Regions from separate parts of the Mus musculus genome. Here region 2 is reported to be linked to region 1. The links are microRNA targets in miRTarBase. Many come from high-throughput screens and were not tested one by one. Region 1 holds a microRNA gene; the other region holds the end of a gene's coding sequence.

Evidence for each region. Region 1 holds the annotated microRNA mmu-miR-1897-3p (UCAACUCGUUCUGUCCGGUGAG, at 8,617-8,638, opposite strand). A microRNA usually pairs through its seed, bases 2 to 8, with sites in the 3' UTR of a target mRNA and lowers its output. Matches are read on the target gene's strand: a 7mer-m8 pairs with bases 2 to 8, a 7mer-A1 pairs with bases 2 to 7 and ends in A, and an 8mer does both.
Region 2: the mRNA of Rab39b is a reported target of mmu-miR-1897-3p. Seed matches in the 3' UTR shown: 7mer-A1 at 7,866-7,872.

The regions. Positions count from the first base shown.
Region 1 is chr3:34,631,435-34,647,148 of GRCm38, reverse strand. It overlaps Mir1897 (microRNA 1897), which reads right to left and starts at 8,685; the gene lies at 8,607-8,685. Sox2ot (SOX2 overlapping transcript (non-protein coding)) reads right to left here. Exons shown (of 5, transcript NR_015580.2): 3 at 8,510-8,791. RefSeq lists enhancers at 721-793, 756-866, 581-972, 614-1,064, 1-1,219.
Region 2 is chrX:75,564,692-75,580,405 of GRCm38, forward strand. Rab39b (RAB39B, member RAS oncogene family) reads right to left here and starts at 13,540. Exons shown (of 2, transcript NM_175122.6): 1 at 13,102-13,540; 2 at 7,354-10,316. The coding sequence starts at 13,316. The coding sequence ends at 9,890. It overlaps Gm39522 (a long non-coding RNA gene), which reads right to left and starts at 520. Exons shown (of 3, transcript XR_878129.2): 1 at 1-520. Gm25421 (a small nuclear RNA gene) reads right to left here and starts at 14,280; the gene lies at 14,117-14,280.

The DNA.
Region 1 (15,714 bases):
CTACTGTACTTATCAGAGGCAATAAACTAATGGTGGCTGGTGTTTATGCATAATAATTTGCGACGAAAATAAGATTAAAGAAGATGGCGGTAGCAAAACCTATTTTCTCATTAGAATATTTTTAGAACATATTGAAAAAAATTAGATCACTGGCCACCGATTTCAATCCAACACCATCATAGTCCCCTAAGTATAATAATAACTATGACAGCCCCAGCCCATGACAGAGGCAAGCCTCTTTTGGGGTTATAATAGCTGACTACAGTACCAGCAACAATACACTATTGACTAGCAGAAAGAGACTTGGAACAGGGTGCTTCATCCTCTGAGAATTTAAAATGTTGCTACTGGCATAGTTTATGAAAATTGGAAGTGCTTCATCTAATGTAATACTTCCCTTCATGGGCAGCAAAAAGCTATACACTTTTAGACCAGCATTAGTGATTAGCATATGCCTGGAGTAATCAGATTTTATTTTGTTCTGCTATTGGCCCAAGCCAGAAGCCTTAACTGCCAAGCATAACCCAATTTTATTTAAAAATCTTTTACATTTTTCTCTCCTCGACGAGTATTATATCTGAAGCCAACTGACAATGTTGTGGAGGTGCGGACTGTAGACTTATTTTTTTCTTCTTAGTGGCAAATAGAGGTTTAAGTTGCAGTAATTAGCGAGAACTAGCCAAGCATCTTACTATTATGATGCTTGTTAAAAACGCTTCGCTCCTGCATCTGCATTTGAGTGGGTTCCCCTCCTCTCCTAATCTCCTTATGGAAATGAAGGCGAACGGCAGGGGACCTGCAGAGTCTCGGAGAATGCCCTTGTTAACTGGAATTTCTCAGCATTGCTAATTAGCAGAGTTTGACGACCACCAGTATTGGGGGAAAGCTCTGTTTAACCACTCGCCAACCATTCCGAGGAAGAGCAGACTAATTTTATTTTGTAATTAAAATCTGAAAAGGGCCCTATTTGACAGTTAGGGCTATGAGAGTTTTATCTCCCCGAGAAATAATTACTGCCTTGATAACTCAATTTTCTGAAAAATGTCAACTGTGGGTTCCAAAAGTTTTAATTTCATTACATAAGGAAAAGTAGCAAGAAAAATAAGAGAAAATGTACAGAAAGGCTTTCTAATTCTGGAACTGGTTAAATATATTGGGAACCAGCTTTAACCAAACGAAGTGCTCCCCCCACCCCCTTTAAGTTCCTCTTTATGCTAGCTAACCTTCTGAGCATCTCTTCTGACCACAACCATAGCAGGAATCCTTCTGCAGCGAGAAACATTACATTGGAGCCAGGCATTCAAGAGGCAAATCAACAACAACAACAACAACAACAACAAAAACCCCTGAAATACAAAAACTATAGAAAAGTTCATGATTTTAAAAGCAGAGACTATTAAGAGGCTTAGGGAATGGCCCATGCATCTGATGAGGTTCTGTTTGTCTATGCCCCAATACTATAGGAAAACAGAGAATTTATGCTTCCTTCTGCCCTCTGAGTCACAAAAAATGCTGGGTCAATCCACATGGCAGGTGGGGAAACTGCTGAGCCTTCAGAGGGACCAGAGCTTTAAGAGTTAGGAAACACAGATGACGACAGGGAAATGCATTTGGAAGATTTATTTTCCAAATAAATAAGTACATAAAAAATCACATACCTTCCAAAAATAATCAACAAGAAACGTGCTAGAGAAATGAGGATACGGAAAGTTAAGGTAGGAATTAGAAAATGAATCCCTTCGCTGTGAGGTTTCCTCTGACCTAAGTTCCCTTCATTGACCAGACTGTAGGGGCACCTTCATTTTCCTAGTATAACTGAGGAAAATGGCTGTTCTTTCATTGGTGCCTTACTTATCCCGTTTTCTTCCCATGGTCAGTGTTAAACTTGGTAAGTGTGAGAGATGACTGACAGGGTCCATAATCCATGTTTCAAGATGCTACAAAGAGCAACCACAGACTTCTACCCCTTTTTGTTTACCATATGGATACAAGGTACACTGCTAATTTAAAATTGCTCAATCATATTTTTTTCTCCTTGTGTCTCTCCAGGATCTTGCCTTTAATTTTCAGAAGTGGTATTATATGAAACAAATGGACAAGGGGCTGTTGAAGCCTAGACCCAATTTTACCAAATAATTTCCCTCAAGAGCTGCAAGGACCCTTGAAACCTGCGGAATGCAGGGTGGTCTGCCCAGTGACCATTGTGCTCAATTCATTCCACCTCTCACTGATGAAGTAAATGCATTAAAAAAAAAAGAGTTTGGCAGTTAGAAACTTAACATATTTCCCTCTTGCTTTTAAATATATACATATATATATTAAAACTGCCTTTTTGAGTCTTCTGGGCTGTATGTAAAAAAAAATCACATGACTTACAATGGTTCATGTATTCTTAGATCTTTCAGATATTCCAGATCATTAATTTTTTTTTTCTGGGCAAAGGATTCACACTTCACTATTTTTCATTTCCATTTCATGAATTATCAACCCTGAGATTCTGTTTCTACCACTGCTGTTGCTGTCCAGGGGAAATGTAGTTTGCCCTTTAGATGATCTAATTGCTTTAAAGACAGAAATTCCCCTGTTAAAGACAAACCGGAGGCAGGAAGAGCAGCTACTGTTGGTCTTCAATTGCACTTCTGATTCTAAAAATCAGGGGTGTGTGTGTGGGGGGGTGGGGGATCACCAGAGAGTCCAAACACTCCAGAGAGACATTAGTCCTTTTGCACCTCCAAATCAACGCTTGGAAGTCTATGTATACACTTACTTGACAGCCAAATATTTTAGGCAATTCATCCTACCAAAGGCATACACATGTCCTCTTTTGTCCGATGGCCCTGATTGTTTCCCGTAATTTCAAGAAAAAGATGTTTCTTTAAAATTTTTCTAGCTGCAATTACTTTATTTAATTGTGCCATCTAAAAACAAACCCAAGCCCTTCCTTGAGGTTTTTCTGACCCATATTAAGTGACAGCAATGCAGGCCGGTGACATGTGACTGCTGCAGCAAAGTCCAAGGAGCTAGAACACTTAGCCTCGAGCTCTGTCTTTCCTCCGTGACCTCACATAACTTTCTGCTTTGTGTCACTCAAAAGCTTCCTTGCCGGAACCTCTACCCGGTGGCGACGGGACAACAGAAAGTGATAAGCCTCGGAAGGCAAGGGTCTTAGGGATGCCTAAGAGCAGGCCGAAGGAAGGGGGAGATTTGCTTCACTGCACTGGACTGCTTTTCTTTTTTTTTTCTTTTTGCTTTCAGGGAACAGAGGAAAGCTTTCCACCTGTAGCATGACAAGAAGCCAAAGCAAACCTGCGTGGTGAAAGTCACCCACAATCACCACCAGACCTAAAGGAAGCCAAGGCTACTGTGGTTCGTGCTAAAGAGCTGTGAATCGGTATGCTCCCATTTCTGGGCGGGCTGGCATCCTTCAGGCCTTCTGCTGACATCAGGAGGTCGCTTCCAAAAGCTCTTCTAACCTCAAAGGCAATGTCTGAGAACGTCAGCTTTCCCTGAGGCCCACTTCTGCTTGGCCTCAGCATCCCTCCCAGCCCAGGCTCAGAATTGGGCTTCCAAACCCATCCTTACAGAATTCTTAGATCGCTGGCCTGATAATCTTTAAAGCCTTCTTCTTAGCTGGGGCTCTGACTTTTATCTCTCCTCCCACCCTTCTTGGATTTTTGTTGGCGGCCCCCACTCCTTCTTCCTCTCTCACCCCCCCTCCCTTAATTTGGAGATCACTGACACGCTATGCTGTAATGAGTCCTTCAGAAACTGTTATGATCTATGGTGACAGTCTCTACACCTAATTCACAGCTTATTGACAAGCACCGTGGGCTCAATGGTGTCAAGTTGTACTTGTGGTATCTGCACTCTTCAGCAGCCCACGTAGCTGCTGGGCTCTGGTTCTGGAGCCACAGCTTGGCAGTTTATTGAGAGATGATGATCTGTCTGGAGCTCTGCTCCTTTCAGTCTGGTCCGGTTCTTTCCCTGGCTCTTTGTCTGGGACTTAAATTCTAGGAGCTAAAGGTTTTCCAGAAAAAAAAAAAAAAAAAAAAAAAAAAGAAAGAAAGAAAGAACCCCGAACAAGAAGACTAAACTCAATAAACGAAAGCTCATCCTCGAACCTGGATCTTATTAATAAGCCTTGTCCCTGCCCCATCTCCAAATAGCCTGCCCAAGTCCAAACCACACACCCTGCTTCTCAGCGTTTTAAGCTTGGGAGGTAGGGAGGGAGAAAAGAAGGAAGGAAGGGTTGAGGACTTGGCCTGGACTCAGTGGACCTAAGCTAAGTTGGCCCACCCGGCTGGCTGGCTCACAGGATCTCGAAAGACTCACTACTTTACAAAGCAGGGCGCCCAGCCAACCCGCCAGGGCTCAAGCCTGGATGCCGCGGCTACAGACCCAAAGCGCCTGCCACGCCCCTAAAGGGTACAGCGCGGCTGGGGAGATCCGGCGGGATGCCAGCCCCAGGAGGCTCTGCCTTCTTGGAGATCTCAGTCCCTGTTTGGCGGCCTTCCTAGTCTCCAAAGGTGGAGGGGCCTCCTCCCGGCTGGCAGTCCTGTGGCGTGGGATTGGGGCCGGGGCTCAGCCACCTGCGGCTGCAGAATCACAATGCAACCGAGCATGGGTGGCGCGCTCAAGCCTGGCTCACTGCTTTTTGCTCAACCTGGCTGTGCATTCTCCACCGACATGGCTTAGTTGCGGACTTAGTGGGCTGCACGCCTGTCCCCTCTGACCTTTGCCTAGGTTTTCTGTCCGTATGCTGGAGAGAAGACTCCTTCGCCGACAATTCTTCCACACTCCGCAATGGCGGTTGTCTAACCCTTTTGCAGTCCGCTTCCGAGGCAGGACCTGTTCTTGGTTTCTCTACTCTTCTGCTTCGCGAGACAGATGACCGCAGCGCTGGGACCCAGGACGCCCAAGAAGCGTCCCCCAGGCTCCTCGGTGCGCGTGGGGGGTCGCGAGGCTAGTCTCAGGTTGGGATTTCCCTAACCAGGCCTAGCCTCTTCGTGGAAAAAGGGTGGAGGTGCCGAGGCAACGGCTCCTGAATGTCCATCATTTCGACCGACTGTCGGGTAGATTTCTCAAAAATCCCCTCTCGTCCGAGATCCGATCCCGGAATCAGATGAGAGGGCACGTCATCGCGCGGAGCAGCTCCTTTAAAAACCATCTTGGATCCGCTAATCTGGAGCAGGAATAAACACACCCTCAACAGCAGATTTGCAGGGATATGGCATTAAATGTGCAGAATGCTATCCTGTTAGGATATGTTAAGCTAGTTTCTGATGGCAAGCCCTAACCTTGCTGATAAAAGTTAAAACGGCAAACATGTCCCCGAAGTAGGAAATGGCCATTTTGTTCATTTGTTGATTTTTTTTAAATTTTAAACTAAACAAACCAACATTTCCCGCTTTGTTGGGAAGTCAGAGGCTGTGTTCTTTTTGTAGCCGGCCTTTCTGAATCAGTCACAAGGCGGCTACTTTCCCTCCCTCGCTGACAGAAGTTACAACTCTTTCTTACACAGACAGGTTTGGAAGTATTAAATAAAACAAATCAAAACTGTTTCCAGGACAACTTGGAGTCCTAACCAATAAAATGTATCACAGACCAATCTTCCCTGAAATTCTACATTGATATCAAAGTAGAAAAAGACACCTGTTTGGTAGACAATAGCTGTATTTAACCGATTGCCAGGAAGGAAAAGTTTGATCAAGAGTGGTTTGAGGCGAGGGAAGAGGAGGGGAGGTAAATACTTGAAGGAGAGACAGGACTTTTAATTACATTCTGGAATTAATAATCAAATATAAACGAGTTACTTCATCCACTAGACACCCAAGCACTTTATATTTGGAAACCTTGTATCTGAACCGCAGCTGGCGCTTAAGCGAAGCACTCTCTTCGCTTTAGTGTTATTTTATGAAAAGCGGACAAGCGGAAGAAGCATTTTTTTTTTTCTATTTCCCTGTAGTACCATCGCTTAGCCTTTAAAAGAAGACCTCAAACCAAGCCAGGATGCGGGTGGGGGAAACTGGGGTGTAAGGAGGAATGCCGTTTTTTAAATAAATGAAATGGAAAAGAATGTAATCTCTTTGGCTTTTGTTGAAGTATAGTTATCTTTTCGGGGCATAAAAACTTGTTTCCGCACCCCCACTTCCTTTTCTGGGGGCAATAAAGAGTTTTCTTTAACCCCAGGGCAAGGGCTGAAGCGGGTTCGGGAGGGCGCTGTGTATCTCCCACTGCGTCCAATAGGGGGCGCTGGCGTGAGACCGCGGAGTCGCTTCTCTTCTGAGCTGCTCCCGGCCCGACCGCGACAGCCGCTGGCGAGGTCGAGCGTAGAGCTTTCGTCTTTGCGGATAAAAAGAGATTAAAGGCTAAATTCTTTTTGGGTGGTGTGTGTGTGTGTGTGTGTGTGTGTGTGTGTGTGTATGAAGAGAGGGTATCAGTTTTAACCAACTATGAAAATGTAGAGCTTTGATGTTCTTGTAAAGAAACTCCTATGGGTTGTAAAATTATAAGGTTTCTGAGCCAATACGCAGCTACACTGTGTGTGGAAATTATTTAATTAAAAATATATTTTTCATACGTTCATACGTTCCTTTAGAAGTACTTTAAAAGCTGACGCTTATTCTTCTGGCTGGCCTGTTGACCCTGCCACAAGTTTCTAATACTTTTATTTTAGCTGTGTTGAAGGCCCTTCTGTTAATTCGAAGTGGAAAAAAGAGACTCAAATATTTAAATCCCTCACTAAACAGTTACTGGTCTGTTTCCTTCCATACTTTCTTTAAACGCGGCAGTTATGTGATGGACACATTTTACTCTGTTGGCGCCTCAAAGACAGGTATAAATGACAAAAAGGAATTCTAATAGGAAAAACTGGGTGTTGGGCCACATAACCATCGTTAGTACAAGAAGTCTAAATAAAATTGTAACCCCACCCACACCCACCCCAACTTAAAAAAAAAAGAAAACCAACCAACTACCCTTCACCTGTATTTAAATAGCGTGTCTTTAATTACAGCGGCGGGGGTTGCCTGAGGCTGGAATGAAATTAGCAGTCATTACCGTCCTTTAACTCCGTGGTGCTTTGATCAGCACTAGATTAGTTTTGCAGTTCTAACAAAGGCTCTACAGCAAGCAGTGGGCTGTAAATAAGACCGCGCGACCTGCCCTCAACACCTTTTCTCTTGTCAATCATAGCTTTATCATTCAGCCCAAGATTAACCTTTATCTACCAAAATTTTAAATAAAAAAAAGAGGGAAAAGAAGGAGGAGGAGGACGACGACGACGAAGAGGAGGAGAAAGAAGGAAAGGGAGGCCCCTGGCCACTGCACGCCTAGGTGACAGAGGTCCTCAGGAGCCTCCTTGAATTGCGATGATGGGCGGGTGTCAGGATCCTCAGACTGGCCTTCCCAACCACACTTCTCAGGCTGAGAAGCCCCCCTCCCCCCACACTGCTCATCCCCACAGGGCCTCGCTCCACGAATCAAACAGCCAGCCATCCTCAGCTTGGAGGCAATACGCGCGCCAAAAATCACCTGTACTAAGTTTCTGGACGGAAAAATACCTATCTTTTCTACTAAGTGCAGAGCAAAGCAAAGCAAAGCAAAAACAAACCAAATCAACCAACCAACCAACCAAACAAGCGCAACAAAAACCACAGCTTCAGCAGCTACAAAAAAAAAAAAAAAACCTTTGCTGAGCGTGGGATGGCGAAGGTAATGTCGTCCGATTTGTCATTAGAGGGCGCCAGAGAGTAGCCCAGCGCCCTAGCCAGCTTTTCTCAGCCCTCCCAGATCCCAGCCTCGTCAGCCTCTGTATTCCCTCTCAGGTAATATTTCTTGATGATCCTGCCCCCTTGCGTTTCTATCTCCCTCTATTCCAGTTGCATAAAGAATGAGGGTTAGTCATGTCCCCTGTCTCACTTTTTTAAATTCAAGCTCTCTTTCACCCCAATTACAGCACACCCCCACTCCCCCAGTCCCAACAGGGATCGAAGTGAGCCCTTCAGCATCTAAGTCACTGCGGTCTGCACAAGGATCTTAGTAGGAGAGCAATACTAGAATTTAACAGTTTTAAGATGGAAACCCGAAAATTTTCATTATTGGATTTACCTATAGGGACTCACAGACGTTTAGTTTTTGCTTAAAAAGAAACACACACACCCCTTTCATACATACATACAGCACCTTGATTACGTTCAGACCTCAAAACTATCTGCCCCAAAGAGAATAAAATGTCACTTCAATTCTGCATTTGTTAAAGAGATCTTAATTAGCATTTAATTCCCAAACTTAACACCTTCTGACTTAAATCGGCCTGTGTTAAATAACTGCTACACAGGGTGGGTATCCAGCTCTCTTAAAGGTCACACAGACACACACACACACACACACACACACACACACACACACAAAGAGGCAGAATGAGAGGAGAAGAAAGTGAGTGAGTGTGTTGGGGGGTGGGGAGAGGTAGCTAGCCTTGAATGTCAAAGTTGGGTTGCAAGCTACTTACGCGACCATGCCAGATCAGGGTGTTGTCTTGTAGCAGTTTGATTGGCAGGTAAAAAGCACTGAACGTGAAGGCTCCGGAGCCTCTCGTCAGCCCAAGCTGGATCACTCCTCACCGGACAGAACGAGTTGAAGGAGCTCGCACTTCCCCCCTCTTTCTCCATCCAAAGCACGGAGAATCCATTTAGGCTTTTCTTCGACCAGTCTCTCCCATCAGCGTCCTGCCTTCCGCGCACCACCTTACACCAGCCTCCAAGACCTAGTCTAGCTTTGCCTCTGCAATCCCCTGCAACAAGAAAAATCGTTTATGGCTTAAAACCCCAAATGGCTGATTTTTTAAAAGAGAGAGAGAGAGGGAGAGGGAGAGAGAGAGAGGAGAGAGAGAGGGTGAGGGGGAGAGAGAGGGGGAGCGGGAAGAATGCACCCAGAGAACAACAAAAAAGTCAGTTATCCTAACACTGCTCTATCCCCCACCGTACAGAAGAATAAAAAAAAAAAAACAAGCTTTATGTTTTTCAGTGGGTATTCAAAGATAATTTGATGCCATTGTTTCTGCTACAGATGGTTCTTTTAAATACAATAACACGGTTCTTTGTGCAGGCTACTCACAATAAAATCCAAAGCGTTCCCCTGAATAACCATTTTGTTCTCTCTTGTATGGGGCCAACAAAAGATTCCGTGAGGTAATGGGTTCTGTTTATTGAAGCCCATAGAATAGGGGGTTGATAAAGATTTTTTTTTTTTTAAGCAGAAGACCTTGGAAGGTCGGGCTGATCTCTTCATATTTTTTATTAAAATATTTGTCCAATACATTATTCCTTGGTGCAGCTGCAAGCTTCCTCCTCAATTCTTAATCAGCCCAAACATCTGTCTCTGGAAGGCTTTAAAAATCTGCATGCAATTGTATCAGTAGTGCAGTAACCTTATGAAACCCCAAATCTTCAGGCTCACTACAGTCTTGAAGGCAACGCAGTTTCAACTGCCTCTGGGGGAAAGGACGGTTGGGGGGAGAAGAGACAGGCAATCCCAGTTCCAGTAACTTAAGGAAATGTGGCTTTCCTCTTCCCAGGCTGGCGGACCATGCTACCAGATGAATCAGCCACACGTATCTCAACAAGGGCTTCTTCCATCTTGAGATGTGCCTCTTCCATGTGCACAGGAGGGGAGGCATGGCTCCCCTCCACTTCCCCCCCCCCACCCCCCCACTCCAAGCTGGCCTTCCTCTCTGCTAATCTAAAAATCCTAGGCTGGGAGCCTAGGCTGAGAGGAAGCAGTTAAAGGTCTCTAACACCCAGTGAATCCTACTCTTAGCTCTCTTTGATTCATTCCTAGCTACTTGTGACTTTGAAGGGTCCTGGGATCGGACTGATGGCCCACCTCCAGCCGCAGTGCCCCACTCTCAGGGTGGCTCTTCCAGCCATCTGCTCCCTTTCTTTCAGTTGCTTCCTCTCACTTAGGAAACCCAAACATGAAAACTCAAAGAGGGTCCGAATGAACCTTGAGCAGCGCCCCCACAATGGGACAGGAGACACTGCAGGGAAGTGGTGAGTTTGGGGCGGACCTTTCTGGCTACATGGAGAACAGGCTGCTCTTTAGGCCTGCAAGAGCCCAGAGCCACAGACTATACTCTCCTGACTTATGCCGTCAGTGGTGTAACAAAACCTTGGCAGCAAAATCATTTTAGGGCTTATTTCTTAATAATTTAATTTCTAAATTATTTGAGACAGGGTCTCACAAGGCAGCCCCAGTTGGCCTGGGACTCACTACACCAGGCTGGCCTCGTTGCCTCTGCCTCCAGACTGCCGAGATTAAAGGGTGCACCATCATGCCTGGCTTAAATTATTTATCGTATAAATTGTTGAGATAAGCAACCTAATAGAAGTCTGAAAAGAATAAAAATTGTGGCACAACTTTAAAAAGTTAAGCATTTCTCTCTCTCTCTCTCTCTCTCTCTCTCTCTCTCTCTCTCTCTCTCTCTCTCTCTCTCTGTATTTTTGGTACAAAGTAAAAGGTTTCCCAGTGGCCCTGGTTGTCCTGGAGCAAACTCTGTTGACCAGGCTGACCTTGAACTCAGAGATCCTCCTGTCTCTGCCTCCCCAGTGCTGGGATTAAAGGTGAAGTTAAGCATTTCTTAAGACTGGTTGAAAAAAGTGAGCCCCATTTGGTGCTGTAAAGCTCAATCCTAGCATGCATGAGGTCATAGGCTTAATCCCCATTGCTGCCAACAAGAAAAGACCTTGAGCCCGTATGAGTGTGTGTGCAGGGAGGGAGGGATCTTTATGATTGCCTATGGAATGTGTGGGTATTTTCTATTTGGGGCACTGTGGGAGTGTGTGTGGCACCATACAATCAGTAGGAACACTTCCAAGAACTGTGGGGATGAGGAAGGCAAGTGTGACTTGAATGCCCACGTTGTCATAGCAACTGATTCTGGAAAGACCAGAGTGACCATTGTACCTCTCTCCCTATGTTTCCACTATTTAGATTTACAAGGATGTGGTCAAAGTTTCCCCATTTTTTACATGGACTGAAAGAAGACTCAAGCTGATGACCCCTCTCCACTGAGGAAGCTGAGATTAGATCTGTACCATCCCAGCCCTAAGAAGTTTGAAATTAGTTGTCCCTTGTCTCCTGGAAGCAATCAAGAAGGTGTGGCACATGCTTGTTTGTGTTCGTGTGTGTGTGTGTGTGTGTGTGTGTGTGTGTGTGTGAGAGAGAGAGAGAGAGAGAGAGAGAGAGAGAGAGAGAGAGAGAAGAATGTAAGTCACCAAAAATCTAAAAAGGGTTAATGCAAGGGCTTTGCACGCAATAAGAAAAAAGTCCAACACTGAGCTAATTAAGGAAGGGAGAAAATGTTCCAGCAAGTGATGGCTCAAAGCCATTGCAGATAAGAAATCTGCAGTCAGTGGGGAACTACTTATGAAGGAAAGAAGGAAGGAATGAAGGAAGGAAGGAAGGAAGAGGGGAGGGAGGAAGGAAGGGAGAGAGGGAGGGAGGGGGGAGGAAGGAAAGGAAGGAAAGAAGGAAGGAAGGAAGGAAGGAAGGGGGAGGGAGGAAGGAAGGAAGGGAGAGGAGGAGGGGGGAGGGAGGGAGGAAAGGAAGGAAGGAAGGAAGGAAGACGGGAGGGAGGAAGGAAGGGAGAGTGAGAGGGAGGGAGGAAAGAAGGGAGGGGGGGAGCAAGAAGGGTGGAACAGGAAGGAGGAACAGGAAGAGGAAGGAGGGAATGGTAGAAAGGAAGAAGGAAGGGTTTGAGGAGAGGAGGGAGGAAGGAGAGGGACAAAGCTGACTAGTCTTCCGCCCCAACCACTGTCCCCACGCTTGGAGCAAAGAGCCACGAAAAGGTTGCTAGAGGCTTGGGAAGCAGTAGCTGCTCTCCGGGTGTTTAGATGGGCTCTCTGGGACCTAGGCTAAGTGGCACAGGTCTTCCATTGGGAGAATGGGTGAGGTTTCTTCAGAATGGGAGTGGCTAGCCCTCTGCAGGAATCGTTCCGTTCAGTATGAGGAAGGAAAGAGGGAGGGAAGGAGGAGAGAAAGGTGGAGAACCTTGTGATCTAGGAGGCAGCACAGATGGCAGCCAGCTTATAGACAGCTGGCCTGTGAAGCCATCAGCTTCCCTCGGGTTCCAGGAATCTCTGTATCTCCTGCGCAGGAAGGACATGGCGAAGGTGACCTGCTGGCTACTGTGCTGGACTTACCCCCAGCCTGAGGAAGGGCTCCTGGCAAGCCAAGACGGGAAGGGACTAGCCACTTTGGGAGGTCAGCTTTGTTAACATGCCCGGCACTACCGGTCCATGTTCTCTTGGACCTAAACCCAAATGACATGGCCTCCTGCTACTGCTCACTCATAGGTGGCTGGAGGGAGGCTAATGATGTGTGTGTGCGCGCGCGAGCGTGCGTGTGCGTGTGCGTGTGCGTGTGCGCGTGTGCGTATCTGACTACAGGCTCAGACTTTGAAATGACTTTAGAATACTTCTTCTGAGCACACAGTGTGGCCAGACTGGTTTGGGGAGAGGAGCCCTGGGATTCTCCAGGGAGGACTGGGTAACAGTCACCAGGGAGGGACGAGGACCTGGGATGAAAAGTCTTGTTGGTTACCTCAGAGAGGTAGGTCAGCAAATCTGACTTGGAACCAGGAGTGGGCTGTGGGCTGTAAGAAGGCCATTTGCTCAGCGAGGCACACTCTGAGTTTCCTGGTATCAACAGACAACCTGAATCTAAGAAAGGTGAGCTTTCTAACTAAGTGGAGGGTTCAGCCAAAGCCAGGGCTGTTGGGAGACTGCACTGTGGACTCCTTCAGGGATACTTTTCATATAGGAACTGAGATTATACAAACAGCCATATGCTTTATCTGTGTATTTGAAAATATTTCTTTTAGCCAGGTCTAGTGCCTCACGTTTATAATTTCACCCCTCAGGAGAGGGAGAGTGAGGCAGGATCAATCACTGCCTCTTACTCAAGACCATCCTATCTATACAGAAAGTTCCAGCCAGGAACATGGGGGTTGGGGGTGGGCTGTATTTAAAAAACAAAAACAAAAACAAAGAAACAAAAGCAAATATGACAAAAAGGCTGTGGCTATAGCTTGTGGAAGAGAGCTTGCCTAGTGTGTGCAAGACCTTAGGTCCAATCACTAGAATTGTAAATAAAGAAAGGAGTATAAAATAAAACATGAAAAAAAATAAATTAGCTGAACTCATTCTATACACCAATATGATTGACAGTCAGACACACCAATCAATGAACATATTGATCTCTTCCTTATTTTCCACTTTTTTGGATGTTCTTTTGTTCCCTTAAGGATTTTTCCTTTGTTGCCTCAGTATAGCAGGTGAATACGCTACACTGTGTATAGTCTATAATCTTAGTGGTCCTTGTCTATAATCTCAGGACCTGGGACCTGAAGTACTGAGATTGTCAGAATCTGAGGCCAGCCTGGGCTACTGTCTCAAAAGAAAACTATGGAGCTGGTGAAATGGCTCAGTGGGTAAGAGTGCTGACTGCTCTTCTGAAGGTCCTGAGTTCAAATCCCAGCAACCACATGGTGGCTCACAACCATCCATAATGAGATCTGATGTCCTCTTCTGGAGTGTCTAAAGATGGCTACAGTGTACTTACATATAATAAAAAATGTCTTTAAAAAAAAGAAAACTATGAATAAAGAATATTAAGTAAAACATTAAACATTTAAAACATGCTACACATTTTAAGAACTTGTTTCTGTTTCTTTTTTTGTTTTTTTTGTTTTTGTTTTTGTTTTTGTTTTTCGAGACAGGGTTTCTCTGTATAGCCCTGGCTGTCCTGGAACTCTCTTTGTAGACCAGGCTGGCCTCGAACTCAGAAATCTGCCTGCCTCTGCCTCCTGAGTGCTGGGACTAAAGGCGTGTGCCACCACTGCCTGGCTCTAAGTTTCTTAATTCACTTATGTATTAATTCACCTGCATGTTACTCAGAGGCATGGTGGGTTGGAGGGAAAGTAGGGACTGCAGGTTGTGCTACCAGAGTGTTATTGGTACTAACTATGGGAAAGCAAGAGGCTGCTGTGCAGTGTCAGGTGAGTCTTTCTGCATCAATAAAACACTAGTGTTACCTGTTAGACCTCAAGACTCATGCTACTGAAGCCATTTTCAAAAGGCATGTCTTCTAACCGAGTCCCACATATCCTTGGTTTGCTTAAAGCTCCTTTGTAACAGCCTTAAGTTTCTGAGCCCCTTCGTGGCTGGAGAAAGTGCTCAGTGGCTAAGAGCATCGGCTGCTATTCAGAGCACCTGGGCTCAATTTCCAGCACCCACATGGCAGATGGAAGTCAAAACTACAGTTCCCAGGGATCCAACACCTTCTTCTGGCCTCCATGGGTAACAGGCATACATATGGTGCACATACATACATACATACAGGCAAAAACTCAGATGCAAAGTGAAAAAGAAGTAAAATTTTAAAGGAAGAATAAGAGCAACAGGACAAATGCAACCTTCTGCTTCTCCTGCCTGAGGAGCTGGGGTTCTAGGTGTGCACCCCCACAGCTGACTGCATCATGCACCTCTCACATCACCAGATCCAAGTACAAAGCTTGAGCTTCCTTAGCCCAAGTGCTTAGAATTTAACCCCACAATCACAATCAATCACAATCACAATCGCAATCGCAATCACAGACCCAGGGCGCAGAAATGAATGGCACTGGCTTCTTTCCATTCCCCTCTCTCCAGGCACAAGAGCAGGCATTGGCTTGGGGAAACTGACTCACTGGTACTTTGTGGTTGTTGAGATATCATCTCCTACAGTCAAGGCTAGCCTTGAACTTGTATAAAGTTGAGAATGACCATAAACTCAAATCCTCCTGTCTCCCTCTCCCAAGGGCTGGAATTACAGATGTGCACTACCACACTCAGGCTAGCCAGCCTTAGCATTATTAAACTCAGGGTTTTGTGCCTACAGGGCGAGCATTCTACCGATGCAGCCACCTCTTCAGCCACAGCCATGAACGGTAAATATGTTCTTAGAAAGTATTATTGTGGCAGACTCTGACAGAAAAGAAGTGTATTTTTCGGGGGGGGGGTTGTGTAGGAGGAATTAATGACCCAAAGGAACACCTGGGGAGGGTTTCTATTGCTCTCTACCCACAGTACACCCTAAAACTCCCTTCCTCTTTAGAGAATAAACAGCAATCTATTCACTGAAGATGAACATGAGAGGAACTAACCTTGAATCAGGACAGCAGCTACTGTCTCAATTTCTTGCAACAGCATGTGAAGTTGGGATTACCCTAGTTCCCTTTACCTTACAGCATAAAAGGAGATGCTGAGTGAAAGGCCTGTGCTTCTGAGCCGGGCAAGAGACCGGGCTTTCTCACTTGACTCCGAAACGCTGCCTGTTCTTTAGAATTCGGTAGACTGAGGCCAAATGGACTCGAGCAGATACCCTTGATGCTGACCTACCTCTGTGAGCACAGGAGGAAACTGGCTGCACACTCCGGTTCTCGTCTTTCTGTTTTCCTGTAAAACAGACTCCCCTTTGTCCCCATCTCTCACCCCGACCACTTTGCTGTGTTTTGGACACAGCATCTCACTATGCAGCCCAGGTTGGCCTCAAGTTCTCAATCTTCTGCCTCTGCCTCTAGAATTCAGGGTTAGAGCTGAGATACTCCAATAATTCTGCACCGTCTTAAGATCTCTGGTGTACCAGTGTGTCCTCCTGAACTACTTCAGACTTGGG
Region 2 (15,714 bases), not on the chromosome of region 1:
GGAAAGTGATCCCATAGTGTTGATTTAAATTCCCAGGCTCCTATCTGCACTATAAAAACTTAACTCTATTTCTAGATTCTGAGAACTAAACCAAAAGATAGACCACAATCCAGTTCCCAGATTGGGTACCTGATTGTGGGCCAGCACAGGGAACAGCTAAGTGGCTTTGAAAGCCGAACTGATATGTAATCATAACCCACAAAGGACCTAGAAGATTTAAATAATCATAATTGCATGATATGAATACATTATATTTAAGTGTATGGAGTATAATAAAAAATGCTTGGTATATAAAGAACCACAGAAATACTTATTTACATGAAAAAACAAATAATGAGTTTATATAAATAACATAAAAATAGATTATAATTCAGAAAAAGCAAAAGTGTTATGACCAAGATCTGGTTCTTTGATAATATTAGTTAAAAATAAGTAAACCTTTAACAATGTTGAATAATAAAAATACAAATGAACAATATGAAAAATTTCTATCTACTCATACATTTTTTAATTACACAAAGTACCATATTTGAAAATTTACTTGAAGTAGATGATTTTCAAAGTATATATATATATATATATATATATATATATATATATATATATACATATACATATATATATATAAATTTATTCATGAGAATATATACATTTATAGGCTACATAATGCTCTGGTAGTCATTCCCGATCCTATTGGCCACTTGCCCACTCCAACTCAAAAGTGGCCTTGCTCTTTAACTTCAGAATCCATGTTGCTGCTAAAAAACCAGCTAGTTGGGGAACAGCTAAGCTGATCTCATAAGAGACCTGTAGTCCTACTCCAGGAAAGAGAATGAATATATGTGAAAAACAAAACATCCTCTTATTATTGAAAATTGATATTATATAAAATGTAGCTTTTTTGCTACAGAGGTTGAGGAGATGCTCAATAAAATTATCTCCAGATAGGGAACCTCGATATATAATAGTATAGTCTTACAAAATACTATTCACTCTGTTTAATCTGTGGCTTGTCAAATATACTTACTTGTAATGCCTCCTACCACCAGATTTCTTTTAATCACCATGGATTACAATCTGGAAATATTGTTATGAACCAGTCACAAACATGAATACAAGTGTAAATATCCTAAATATTAGTGGATAAAATCAAGCAGTATTTTAAAAATACATTGTGATTTAAGAAGAGTTTAGCATAATAATGTGAAGAAATATGTTTTAACATGAGCAGCTTTACTGAAATAATTGTGTTGACAGGTTAATGGTTGAATGTCATTTGATTCTCTCAGTGAATACCAGAAAAACAATTGAAAACTTAAGCATAAAGTCTTCCTCCAAATACTTAGTAGACTAGCAATATGGTAAAATTTATATAGTATTAGTTAATACCAACCTGGGGTTTCTACCCTGCCTTTTACCATTTAGTTCACAGATAAAAACACTACACTCAGCCTTTATATTTACAATTAGCCTTAAACAGCTGGGCAGATACTACTCTCTATGTGATTAGAATCTACTTTCCTATAGATAACCTCAAGTTATTACTTATGTTTCATCTGGACTGCTCTTAACTCCAACTGGCCAGCCTTCAGGGCCATCTTCTCTTGATTCCTAACCCATGGAAGCTTCTCCTTCCTACTCTCCTACCCCTTCCTCCTCCTTGTTCTCCCCTGAACCCAAGCCCAGAAATCCTAAACCCCACCTATGACTCCTCTGCCCAGCTATTGGTTGTTGGCATCTTTATTTACCAATCAGAAATAACTGGGGGGCAGGGTCATAAGTCAACATGCAGAATCCAGGTCTTGGGGGCTTGTACTTAGCATTACAATACATAGCAAGATCAAACCTCAACAGTTATCAAATTCAATTTTAGTCAGTGTAAATAAGAAAAAAACTGAGAGGAAAATATTAGAGAAAGAAAAAACATATGGATTATAATTTCTGTCTAACAAGTAGAAGAAACCCATTAAAAATTAGTTGAATAATAGAGTTTAGCAAGGATTTTCTTATAAGCTATTAAATTTTAACAAATTCACAAATTTCCTACATGTTAGAAATGATCAGTTAGAATAGTTGGAGCCAGTATAATTAATGTATGCAACCTACTTCAAAGTAAATAAAAAATTCTTGCAATAAACAGAATATGGCTAAACATGAGAAAACAATAAAAAGTTACTAATGAGCACAAAGCATTAAGATGATTTATTATGCAAAATTTGTAAAGATGGGTGTGTCTTCCATGGATCATTGTTCCTGAGTGAAATTAGTTTCAATAAAAATCCCAACCCCTGGGCTTGAGAAATGGCTCAGTGGATAACAACCACATAGTGGCTCACAACCATCTGTAATGGGAAGCTGACATCCTCTTCTGGTGTGTCTGAAGATAGAGACAGTATGCTCATATACATAAAATAAATAAATAAATCCTTCAAAAAGAAAGAAAGAAAGAAATTCCAACCCTAACTCAGGGAAAAGTTGACACATTTATTCTCAAATTCTCAAATCCTGTATAAAAGTAGCAAAGACAAATTTGAGATAAAAGGTAATTTTTAAAGTCTGATTGAATTAACCAAACTAGAACAATGTAATATTAGTCTAGGAGTAGAAAAATAGATCAATGACTAGATATGATGATTCCTGATGGAACCTGAAATCTATTATAAAGATACAGATGTTTTGTAGGTTTTAGGCAGAGAAGGCCTGTCTGCACCTAACATTATTGCTACAAAATATCAATATAACATACAGTATAAGAAATTTACATAAATTACAAAAATCAAAGGGAGGGGATGGCTAGAGAGATGGTTCACTGGTTAAGATCACTTGCTTTCAGAGGACTGGAGTTCAGTTCCCCCGTCTCATACCAGGTGATTCACAGCAGCATATAGCTCCAGCTCCAGGGGATCTAATACCCTCTCTTGGCTTCCATAGGTACTAGCATAAATGTACATAAATATAAGTACATTGCATGTGAGTGCACACACACACACACACACACACAAATTTAAAAAGCAAAACTCTTTACAAAAACTTTAAAATTAAAAGATAAAAACATTTATTGAATGGAAAATAATTTTTCCTCCCAGCGTATTTTCTAGCTACTTGGTTTATCAATTCTGAGGGAAAAGTTGTTTCCAGTTTCTTACAGATAATAGATCTTACTGCTAAATATTAGAGACTTCTGTATTACCAAATACCAGAATTTAGAAAAAAAGTCAGGATTTTTTTTTGCCATATATGAAGAGCACAGAAGAAATTTCCATGTACAAATTTGTCTTACTGATGAATGATAAAAAGCTCAGCACTCTTCATTAGTTATGACTACTTTTAACTCCAAGCATAGAAAGTCAATAATTAAAGATATACACATTTAAAAATATTGTGGTGAAGCAGGAGCATTTCCATGAGTTTGAGGTCAGTCTATATTATATAGTGAGTTTCAGAGCAGCTTAGGCTACAGAGAGAGACCCTATGTCACCCATCTCTCACTAAAAACTAAAATGTTGATATATTATTAACCTCTCCAGCCTGCAAAGAGTTAAAAATTATATAATACTGAATGTAGACATTACCATACATTGTTCATGGATTTTCAGTAAAACATTCCTATAGAACAATTTAATGACATATAAAAATTTAAATAAGCATGATATTTGATTCATAAATTTCATTTGTAAGATTTTTAACTTGACTTAATTAGGTACATAAATTAGATATATATGCATATATTTTATAAGACTTGATTAAATAAAATATCACATGTTCATACAGTGGAATGTTATTGTACCTTTTAGGAGACTTTCATGTAGGAGAGGTGAAGAAATGCATAAATCAAAGTGAGATTATTATCTAATATTTCAAAGAATCTTAATAAAGGTTGTCTCCAGTGTAGGGAAATCTATGATTCAATTATATTGTCAAGGACCCAGTTTTCTTGAGTCTCTGCTCTGCCATGTTCTAACTAACTCTTCTTTTGATCACATTCAATAAATATGTACATGCACTGATTGACTGTAGTTAGTAATTAGCAAAGACACAGAATCTGCCCTCATGCAGTTATAGAAAATTTACTGTATAAGAAAAAATTAACAGAACAATGTGTTACATGATACCATTTGTACAAGAGATTCATTTATGTGCAAATATAATTTCTATCATCTTATGACTATTATGACTAAGTGCTTTTTTATATGGATTGTCTCATCTCATCCTTACCACAACTTTATGAGCTAAATACCATCATTCAGTATATGATGTGTGAAATATATGTGTGAAAGGGGACTCAGAGATATTGAGTTGCACTTAATTTCTGGTAGAGTCAGAATTTGAACTTATATTTGTCTTGGAAGAGAAGATCTGTAATGAAATAAACAAAAACACTTTCTTTAGGAATTGGTAATTAAATGCAGTTGACTACAAGAGCCAAGAAAAAGGAAGAGAATATTGATAAATTAGTAGTGGGCCATGGTTGATTGCCTAAAGTTGTAACAAAAGTTTAAACAGGCCTTATGGGAGACAGTGACAAACAGATCTTGTAATCAGAGAATTCCAGAGGCTACAGAATAGAATCATGTGTGTGTGATCAGGAGGGGTCAAGGTCATTGGTGAAGAAAGTATGATTATTATTTTTATATAACTCACAGCCAGACAGATCAGATGATGGAAAGCCTTGTAGTTATGCCAAGAAATGTAAGATTTTTTTCAATTTTGTTCAAATGTGATGAGAAAGCATGGGTAAATTCTAATTTGGGTGAAGAATGACTTGATCTGTTATGGTATGATAACTCTACACATTTTGGGAATGTGTCATGGATATGTGAATAAGAAGTAGGGAGAAGGGTAAGATAATTGAAGTAGTTCAGAGTCAATAATAGCTTGGACAATGGTGATAGCAATGATGATGGAGAAAAATAGTTCTGAGTTTGAGGAATTTATATCTGTGTGTCTTAAGCAAATTAACTACATTGGTTTGATGCTTAAAAGATGGCCTGAATTACTTTGCAAAGCAGAGAGTAGTTGAAATTATGGGAGTGGATTGGATTGTCTGGTAAGGAGAGATTTTGAAGAGTAGAGGAACAGTATTGTGTCTTTCCACACAACTTCCGGAGAAGCTTAGTGAATGCAGAAGCCGTTCTACCAACAAATCCTATGACTACAATTTATTTCATTGTTTACCTAAACCCACTGCTGCATTATGACATTACCACCTACTCCTTTTCTGTGAAATATATCTCCAGGATTTCCATGATCTCCTTTTATGCCAGTGGTTCTCAACCTTCCTAATGCCCCTGACCTTTTAATACAGTTCTTTATGTTTTGGTGACACCCCCCCCAACCATAAAATTATTTTCATTGCTACTTCATAACTGAAATTTTACTATTGTTATGAACTGTAATGTAAATATGTGGTATGTAGGATATCTGATATGCAACCCTGTGAATCATTCAACCCCCAAATGGTTTTCGACCACAGGTTGAGAACCAGTTCTCTAGTTTTTTTTCCCCCTTTTAGGCATCCCAGAATCTTTGTTGTTCCTCAGGCAAGGTTAAAGAACAGGGCCTTGGTCTGTCTATCAGCAGTGATGTTTGGAGGAATGTGTTCCCTAGTATCTGTTAGCTATTCAAAGATTTTGGAAGCTTCTGACCCTATAACTTGATGGATTTGAAAAGCAATCCATAAAGCTATCTCAGAAAAGAATTAGGAGCAAGGGTAGAGCATTAACAAAAGCCCTGAGGTGGGAAAACTCTTGGCATGTTTGAAGAACAAAAAAGGAAGAGCTGGAGAGATTAAGAAAACATACTGCTCTTGTAGAGGGCCTGAATTCAGTCCCCCTATCTTGTGGGTCTTAACTGCCTGTAATTCTAGGTGCATGTTGTCTGTAGACATTTGGCTTCTGAGGAACAGAACACACACACACACACACACACACACACACACACACACACACACACACACACACACGTATATATAAAATTAAAATAAAGAACAAGAAAGGAAACTGAGATGAACAAGAAATCAGATGTAAGAAATGAGGTCGCAGAGGTGGCAGGATGGAATTCATTTTAGGGTTCTTCTGTAGACTATTGGAAGGATTTTGTGTTTTAAGCTGAATGAAATTGATAAGCACAGGAATATTATGAGTAGGTGACTGTTTTAACTCATGTATTATCAGACTCCCTTGGGCTGTATGGATAATAGACTGGTAGGGAAGGGGTAGCAAGAATGACTGTAGGGAGACCAGTTTTATCACAATAATTCAGGTGATAAGTGACAGTGGACAACAGCAGCATTAACACATTAAAGGTGTTAAAAAGCTGTTAAATTCTTGTCTTATTCTTCTGCCAACATAATTTTCAGATAGATCAAATGTGGAGTAAGAAAGAGAAGGAAAGAAGAATGACTTTAAGCTTTTAGGCAGGAATGCTTTGGAGAAAGTTAACATTACCTTTAGGAGCTTGATTAAATTCAGGACATGTTAAATTTGTCATTCTAATGGACAATCAAATTGAAATGACAGGTAAGTAGTTGGTTATGAAAGTCTGGAGTCCATGGGTAATAGATGAGCTCAACATATCAGTCCAGGGCTTACTGGCTCACAGATAATTTTTAAAACCAACGAATGGCTGGGGTCACCAAGGGAATTAATATAAATAAAGAAACGATAAGTTTAAGCCTAGATAAAATTTAAAGGTGTGGAAAGCTCTATGAAATGCAGCTTCATAGTTAATTTCTCTTTCTTCTTTTCTTACTCCTCCCCTTAATTTACTTAAGCCTGCAAAAATGATAAGGCAGTACTGAGATTAGTCTGTGTATGCCTAGATTCAGAATTTCTTTTATATTTCTTTCAGATGTGCACTATCCACCTTGGAAAGTGTATTTGATGACTGCATTCCAGTCTGGGTCCCATGTCCTCACATGATAGTATGCCACAGTCAGATTTGAAAAACACAACAACCAACCAACCAACAAACAAAACAAAACACCCAAGGGAATTTAGCTTGGAAAAGACATTCCAGTGAAGACAGTAGTTATAATTAACTACTTGCCTGGTGACAGAATTATAAATCTTGATTAAAAATTACAATGCTTAAGTTTTAGGCTTCACACAACCAACTTTTTACATAGTGGTTTGGGCTGAAAATGAATAATAATATTTCTGTGATTTTCAACATGAAAACCATATATCTTTAAAATTGTGTCCTCTTTTTGGCTTTCAGATACTTTTGACTATGTTTATGCAAGGTATGTCATATCCAATTGGTATACGCTACAGTATGGGATTGGTATCTTACTGGTATCCTTGTTTGCAACAATGAAGGGACACATTCTAGAAATAGCTACAACACACATATGGAATCTCTCAGTCACATGATCAACCATTTTACTAAATACAAGCATATTTTCATTCACATACAGCTAAATAAAGAATTTTTCACATTTCATTACAGTGTACAACAAATTGAGGCAAAGTATACAGTACATTTTGTTCTGGAATATAAGACAATCTAATCCAACATGCAGTTGTGATCGTTGTTACAGTTAATCTTTTCTTTACCTATGTAGTAAAATAGCTTCTAATGCATTATCCTTAGTATTTTATGAACACCTGATTTTTTCACATTTATTGTCTAAAACCCACTTATTGCAGTGACAACAGCACTGAATTCTACTAAAAGGATTTTTGAGATTTTTTTAAAACTTATGGAAGAAGTCAAGTTCAGCCACCTCTGCTGCATTTATGCTGGGTACTTTGAAACCCACTTTTAAAAGCCAGGAATGGCAAAGTATATAATGTATTTTCGTCAAGAAAACTGTAGACCTGTTTTATTTCTACCCCTGCCCCCTTGAGTCAACAAGAGTCTAATCAACTCTTATTTATCCACTGGATAATCCTGGGTTTTAGAACAATCTAGACATGTGTATCATTGTTGAAATTTTGTGTTAACCCACAAAAAAGGTTGTATTTGCCTTCTACAACCAAGAATCTGGCAATTTAAAATACGTGAAATGATTATAGAATGAATGATCATTTATCTGCAATTGATAATGTGAATTGGTCCAAAATGACTTGTTTATACAAGTTGGAGCAAAGGTGGCTAAACAACCTTTCATAATTTTTATTATTTGGGTTATTTTAGCTGAAACAAATTCCCAGATTCACACATATTCATTCTGAACTCGAACAGGATATTGCAAATATAATTTGCCATTCTTTCTACCACAATGTATATATGAGAAACTTGACTCTAATCAGAATAGTTTTCTTACTGTCAAAAGTATGGCTTTTGCCTAGCTGAACTGGCTACAATCCAAAAAGAAATTTAAAGCATCACTTCTTTTTAAGAAGATAATGAATTTTTCATCTCAGCCATTCTAATTTGCTGATGTGGTTAGCTGTCTGTTCACCTGAGAATTAAGAGCTGACTCTCTCGGGTAGACAGGAGCCCAATGTAGGTACATAGCAGACAGGTAGTCAAGGTCATTGTGAGGTGAGTACTTTATCCCCAACCCACTCCCCATTGTTGTATTTGGTTCCTTTTAATAAAATATTCATAGTGTTTGTGAGAAGAACATTTATAACCCATACAGTTTTAATGTGTTTTCAGTTGTGCAGTTAATCCCTTATTTAATGCCCTCTTGTCAATAATACCTGAGTGGCCTTTACCTTTTATTCATTTCTAGATTCCTGCAAGATTATAGCTGAGCTGTAAAACAAGGAAAACATATTCTATCATGTAGAGAATATTTATTTATAGTCACATGTCTCCAAAGGTTAATAAATTAATCACTTATTCATATGAATAATGATCCAGTGAAAAAAGCTAGGTATCAGGTAGGCTTGGTTCTTGCTTTCTTATTATGTAAAATGGGATCAAAAATCTCACAGTCCTATTATGGTGATCAAATGAGTGAAATAAATTAATATGAATAATTTTTAAGGATTCCAAGACTACGTGTTGAGCCAATACTCAGAATAGAACCAATGACCAAGGGCTTGACTTAGGGTTTTTGTTTGTTGACAATCTCTGTGTTGTCGTTGTCAGGTATCTGAAGAAGCAAGCAGTATACTTACTTCGGGATTATGGTTCCCTGATGCAGTGAAAGTCCAGGTATGATTAGAGGGGAAATAATGTGGCCTTTGAGTTACAGTGTTTCCTTTTTCTCCTTACATGATCATTTTACATGGAAGAATTTCTTTCACATAGTTGGCAACTTTATCATGCCAGTGTACACTTTTCTCAAATGTGATAACAACAATATGTGAATGACTTCCCTTTTCATATTCACAGCAGTTTTACTAGAATGCTAGACCTTGAAAGAGCTTTACCAAATAGTTGATTCATATGGGCTTTTCATTTTACAGTTGAACTGTTAGAAGTGGCTTGATGTGTTTGTATAAAACCCAGCACACATCTGGCACGGTATTATCATTGAATAAGTTGATATCATACTCTTTTTTTTTTCAGTTATCTTAATTGTCCCCAATTGATACTTGATTTCTTTCTATATGTTTCTTTATGGTCACCATGTCTGAAAAGTTGTAATACCAAGGAACTGTTTATCTGTCTGTAGGTGTTTTCCTGGAACCTAACTTTCAAATACCCAGACCCTTAATATGTGGTCCACAAAGGGCACACAGAGCAGCCATTGCTGAGCCTGGCCCACAAAACAAGGTCTGGTCCAGCCCCTGTCAGCAATTTAGTCCCTCAGTCACAGCACCCAGGCTCCCTATCTACCCACACATGAGCCTGTCAGAGATCCAGGCCTAGGAAGAAGGCTCATTTATTATCCAAACGTTGAGTTCTCTTCAGTCACATAAGGATTCTATTTATTTTGATAACTTTTAAGTTCAAGTGGGAGAGTATGTTTTGAAAATGGAAGGGTTAACTAGCACAAACATCTCCTCTCTGATTTGATAACCTCTTCTGAAGAATGAACAACATTTGGTACAAATCCACTCTTCACCCCTTCCCAACCCTCCTGGATTGTAATCTCCCCCCTTTTAACCAGCTCATATATGTCTCTTGTCAGGTCTGTGAAGGCTTTCTCCACATTAATGGCATCTCGGGCTGACGTCTCAATGTACTTCATGCCGTATGCAGCAGCCAGTTTCTCGGCCTCGTGGCGAGTCACTTGCCTCTGTGTATCCAGGTCACACTTGTGACCCACCAGAACAAATACAATTTGGTAGGGCTGAACGTGTACTTTGGTCTCTTCTAACCACTCATGGACATTCTGGAAGGACCTGCGGTTGGTAATGTCAAATAAGAGAAGACCACCTACTGAATTCCTGTAGTAGGCGCGAGTGATGGATCTAAAACACAAGAAAGAAGTAAAGAATAAAGTTCGTGCTCAAACTCCTTCACTCCAACGAACTCAGTGTATTCTAGTGTTCCTGATTCCTGACAGTCCTTTAGTAAATACAAATGCAGTCTATAACAATAATGACAAGTTTTCAACTGAGTAAAATGTTAAGAATGCTCGTGAACTTTCAGGTATTTTCCCTTGAATTTATTATAATTGATAACCCCTGAAAATATCTTGCAAAATATTTCATTTTTCTATTTATCATTAACCTGTTTTGTGTTTGTTTGTTCCCGTTATTGCTATTTTTTTCTAGCAGGGGTCATCAATCAATCTCTTCTGTGAGGAAAAAGACAATCTTGCTTTGTATTTCCTAAGCCACTTGGGAATGAGAATGGGAAAATGGGGATGGTAAAATGTTCTGAGGCAGGGCTAGAGAAATGGTGCAGTAGTTAAGAGCGCTATTTGCTCTCCCAGAGGACCTGAACTTAATTTCCAGCACACACATGGCAGCTCACAACTGTCTTTAATTCCAGCTTCTGAGGATCTGACATCCTCTCTTGACCTGCATAGTCACCAGCCACTCATGTGGTTCACAAACATATATGTAGGCAAAACTCTATACACATAAAATAAAACAACATATTTAATATTGTTCTGGAGAAAATCCTTCCATCTGTATTCACTGACAAAATTCAAAGAGGCTGACTGAGGAGGCACTAGCTGGGAGAATCTGCCAAAATAGTGAAAGTGTTCCAATGAAGTTATATTATTATTTTGAATCATGTAATTAGGTTATTTTAGCCTACTTGTACATTTATTGTACTTCTTAAACAGAAGAAACATCACATATTTTAGTTTCTTGAGTTGACGAACCTTATTACAAACATATAATGTGTTTTGCTTAAGAATGTAGAATCTCATGAAAGGATGTAGAATAACTTGCCTATATAATCACTTGCTTTAGACTACTGCAATTTTTGAAATCTATTTTTAGGATTTCTGTCTTCTTGAGAGGGTATGATAAATAATAGCTGAAAATGTATGGGAAAATGGCTCAGTGTTAATGTGGGGGAAATGTCTAGGGAATTACAGCCCAAGCTAGAAGATGATATGGGTAGGCCTTACAAATAAGTTCAGGTCTCTAGAACCAGGGATATTAGCCCTGGGAAATGGATATTCATAATTTCTTTATGTTTGAAGATTAATGGGGAATGATAATTGTATTGGAAAATGCTCCAATTTGTGAAAATGTTGATTTGAGAAATCAATGAGCAGTGTATCCAAGCTCTAGAATATATTTATGCATTAGTGGTTTGTATTTAGCACAGAAGATATCAAAGTATTTTAATCATAGTGTAAAGTTATATAGAACTAGACACTGACCCTAAATTAAAAAAAAACATAAAAATACAAATGACATATTGGGGAAATAGCTCACAACATACATGACATAAAAGGGTTAATGTTCTTTTTGTTAGACAGAAGTCCAGGCTGGCCTTCAACTACTTATCGTTCTCTTGCCTCAGCCTTCAGAGGGCTGGAATTATAGGGCTATGCCACCACTGTTGGTGTTGGGATAATCTGTAAAGTAGTCCTACAAATCAATACTATATAATACATAATAAATAGTAAATATGAACAAGCCATTCATACAGAGATCCCAGCAAACATATATAAGAGACCTTTCTTTATTCATGAGAACTTATATAAAGTATTTGCCAGAGCTTTGTACAAGTGGGAAGTTAGAGGCAACTTAATTACCTAACTAGTATCTTCTGCGTCCAACTAATGTTCAGTGGAGAATGAGTCAGTGTTTATGAACTGAGTCCTTTTGCTCTGGTTCCTCCTGTTCTACCTTACTTTAGTTCAAACTGTTCTCTACAAAGTTTTTATTAGTTTGTTTTCTGTCACTTATGTTTTATTTATGCTTTTCCCTATTCTGGGCATTTCCTATCTTTACTTGGGCTTCATCTTCTCCGGTCTCTCCTCTGTATTCATACATGAAATTACAAATAAATACTACAAAGGAAGAGCAAAGGATTGTGAAAGAAAAATAAACATGCTGAATGATTATGTGCCCAGTGGTACAGTAGGGAGTGGCATATAAATACAAACAACAAAACACTCTTTTGTGTGTTGCCTCTGTTTCTGTTTCTTCTGACCATGCTAGTACTGAAGTTCCAAGAAGTCAGGGGCTCTGACTATTTACTTTATATGGAATTCTCTTATGTGAGTAACCTCATACTATTTCTTCAGAAATGATTCCACCCTCTGGCAACTGACTGTATGATGGTTACAAGACAGTCAATTAATCAGTCTCCATTTCCTTTATATTAGGGCATATTCATTCTCTCTGTGTCTCTGTCTCTCCCTCTGTCTTTTCTTCCCCACAAATATAAACGGATATATAGAAAGAAGTCAATATACATCTACCTACCTATAGCTTTCAGTTATGTTAAAATGACTTGGATTTTTTTAAACTATGAATCATAGGGTCTGATTTTGATGAATTATACAGTGATCAATTTCAAGTTATTTATTAGCTACCAAAAGCAGATTGATGGAGTTGTGGTTCAAATAATGTGATAATGAATGGCCTTCTCCTGCCTGGGCGGTTCTTTCCTGCATCGAACTCAAAGGTAGCTCAAAGTGGGCTTGAAAAGCCCCAGACAGACCCTTGTTTGTCACCCTGGCAGCATCGCGAAAAGAACCGGGAAGTCCTCTTTCCCCAGGGACTGAATAAGCCCCAAAGACCCTCCCACTGCTCGCGCGGGCCCGTGGTGCACTCCCACCTGAACCTCTCTTGACCCGCTGTATCCCAGATCTGGAGCTTGATGCGTTTTCCTGGCTCGATCTCCACCAAACGGGAGAAAAAATCTACCCCCACGGTGGGATCTGAAACCTGAGCAAAGCGGCCCTCGGTGAAGCGGCGGATCAGGCAGGACTTGCCCACCGTGGAATCGCCGATGACAATGAGCCGGAACTGGTACAGCCAGATGGCCTCCATGGCAGTGGCCTGGCAGGACTCTTCGGCCCGGGCCTGGGGAGGCGGGAGGGGGCGCCCCACCAAGGCCTTAGCACAGATCAACCCGTTTCTAGATCGGCCGCGAGAACATCACTGGCCTGGTAGCCTGAAGCAAGGTAGGCCCAGGCGCTGGGGGAACGAAGGGATGGATGCTGCGCTCGCAAAGGTGATGAAATGGCAGCAGCATCAGCACCACGCACTCTGACTCATCACTGAAAACCGAGTTACTGTAATTCTCTGCGTAGACGCGGCAGTAGTTTCACCACACTGTCTGTTAGAGGAGCGCACACAAAAACGGACAGGAGAGTAATGTGTTCTGTTTTTAATTATACCGACCACTCTCCTATTAATATAAAAATTATTATAAAAATTAATATAAAAATCTCTCTGCCGTTACAATTGCAAATCTAATTAATTTTTATTAAATCTAGAAAAATACATAAAAGTAAACAAAAGTCGAATAATTGTCTTCTCCGGGTTTCCATGCTCAAACATGCAAATATTATTATTCAGGCATATGCATGTGCATTTATTGCTATTTATTTTTTAAAAGACACAAAATTTAATCCTATACTTTTTGTGCAAATAACAAAGTGTCATATACGTCTCTCCATTTCCAACACATTTTTAAAAGAACATTCACACTGTTTTCCCTAATAGCTGTCCTAATTTATTTATAACCAGTGGTGTGCAAGGGTTCCCTTTGCTCTACACACACACACACACACACACACACACACACACACACTTGTTATCTTTAATCTTGTTCCCCTCTGCTGATTAGAAGAGCACAAAATCAGTCTCCTCATTACCATAAAATATGCAATAAAGTTTCCCAGCAGTAGGAGAAATCCCAGGGAGTCAGCACATTTTGAGTGCAATGTATAAACCTTGCTATGGGTAATCCGCTTTCATGATCATGGCATATCTTGTGCTAGGTAAGTATCTCTTTTGTCTTTTTGATAATTGTCCTTCATATCTTGGTGAGATGATATTCTACTGTGATTTGCACTTTCTTTATGATTAGTGATATTGAATATTTTTAAGATTTCTTTTCATGATTATTTGCATATATTCTGAGAAATATGTTTAGATTTAATGCTTATTTTTATTGGATATGTTCTTTATTTACATTTAAAATGTTTTACCCTTTCTCGGTTTCCCCTCCAGAACCCCCCATCCCATTCTCCCTCCCACTGTTCTATGAGGGTGCTCCCACACCCAACCACCCACTCCCACTTCCTGGTCCTGGCATTCCCCTACACTGGGGCATCAAGCCTTCACAAGACCAAAGGCCTCTCCTCCCATTGATGTCCCACAAGGCCATCCTCTGCTACATATGCAGCTGGAGCCATGAGTCGCTCCATGTGTACTCTTTGGTTGGTGGTTTAGTCTCTGGGAGCTCTGGGGGTTCTGGTTGGTTGATATTGTTGTTTTTCCTATGGGGTTGCTAACCCCTTCAACCCCTTCAGTCCTTTCTCTAACTCCTCCATTTGGGACCCTGTGCTCAGTTCAATGGTTGGCTGTGAGCATAGATCTCTGTATTTGTCAGGCTCTGTATCAGACTCCTGTCAGCAAGTACTTCTTGGCATCCACAATAGTATCTGTGTTTGGTGACTGTATATGGGATGGATCCCCAGGTCGGGCAATCTCTGGATGACCTTTTCTTCAGTCTCTACACTTTTTCTGAGGCTTTTTTTGTTTGTTTGTTTTTGTTTTTGTTTTTTTCCTACCGGATGGTTTTAGCTCCTTTGACAGAGATCAAGTGTGGGTTCATTTCTGGGTCTTCAATTTTATTCCATTGATCTTCCTTCCCGTCCCTTTACCAGTACCAGGCAGTTTTTATCACTATTGCCCTGTAATACAGCTTGAGGTCAGGGATGCTGATTTCTTTTCTTTTCTTTCTTTCTTTTTTTAAACAAGTGTTCATTTTTTATACCACCATGAAAGTTACAACTTTATCTTTTCCCAAAATTATTATTTTGTAGTAGGAAGTGTAAAATAAAGAGCAATGACAAAAGAATTTAAAATTATAAACATGTTAACTGTGTTACAGAACCATGATCACAACTGGTCATAAAAATTATAGCGCAGAATTCCTGGTGAGGTCTGTTCCTTCCCTCCTTTACCTGACTGTGAATACAACATTGTACCTAGAGGGATGCTGATTTCCCCACAGGTTCTTTTATTGTTGAGAATGGTTTTTGCTATTCTGGGTTTTTTTTTTTTTTTTTTTGTTGTTGTTGTTGTTAGTTCATATACATTTCATAATTGCTCTTTCTATTTCTGTGATGAACTGAGTTGGAAGTTTGATGGTGATTGCATTGAATCTGTAGATTGCTTTTGATAAGATGGCCATTTTTACTATGTTTATCCTGCC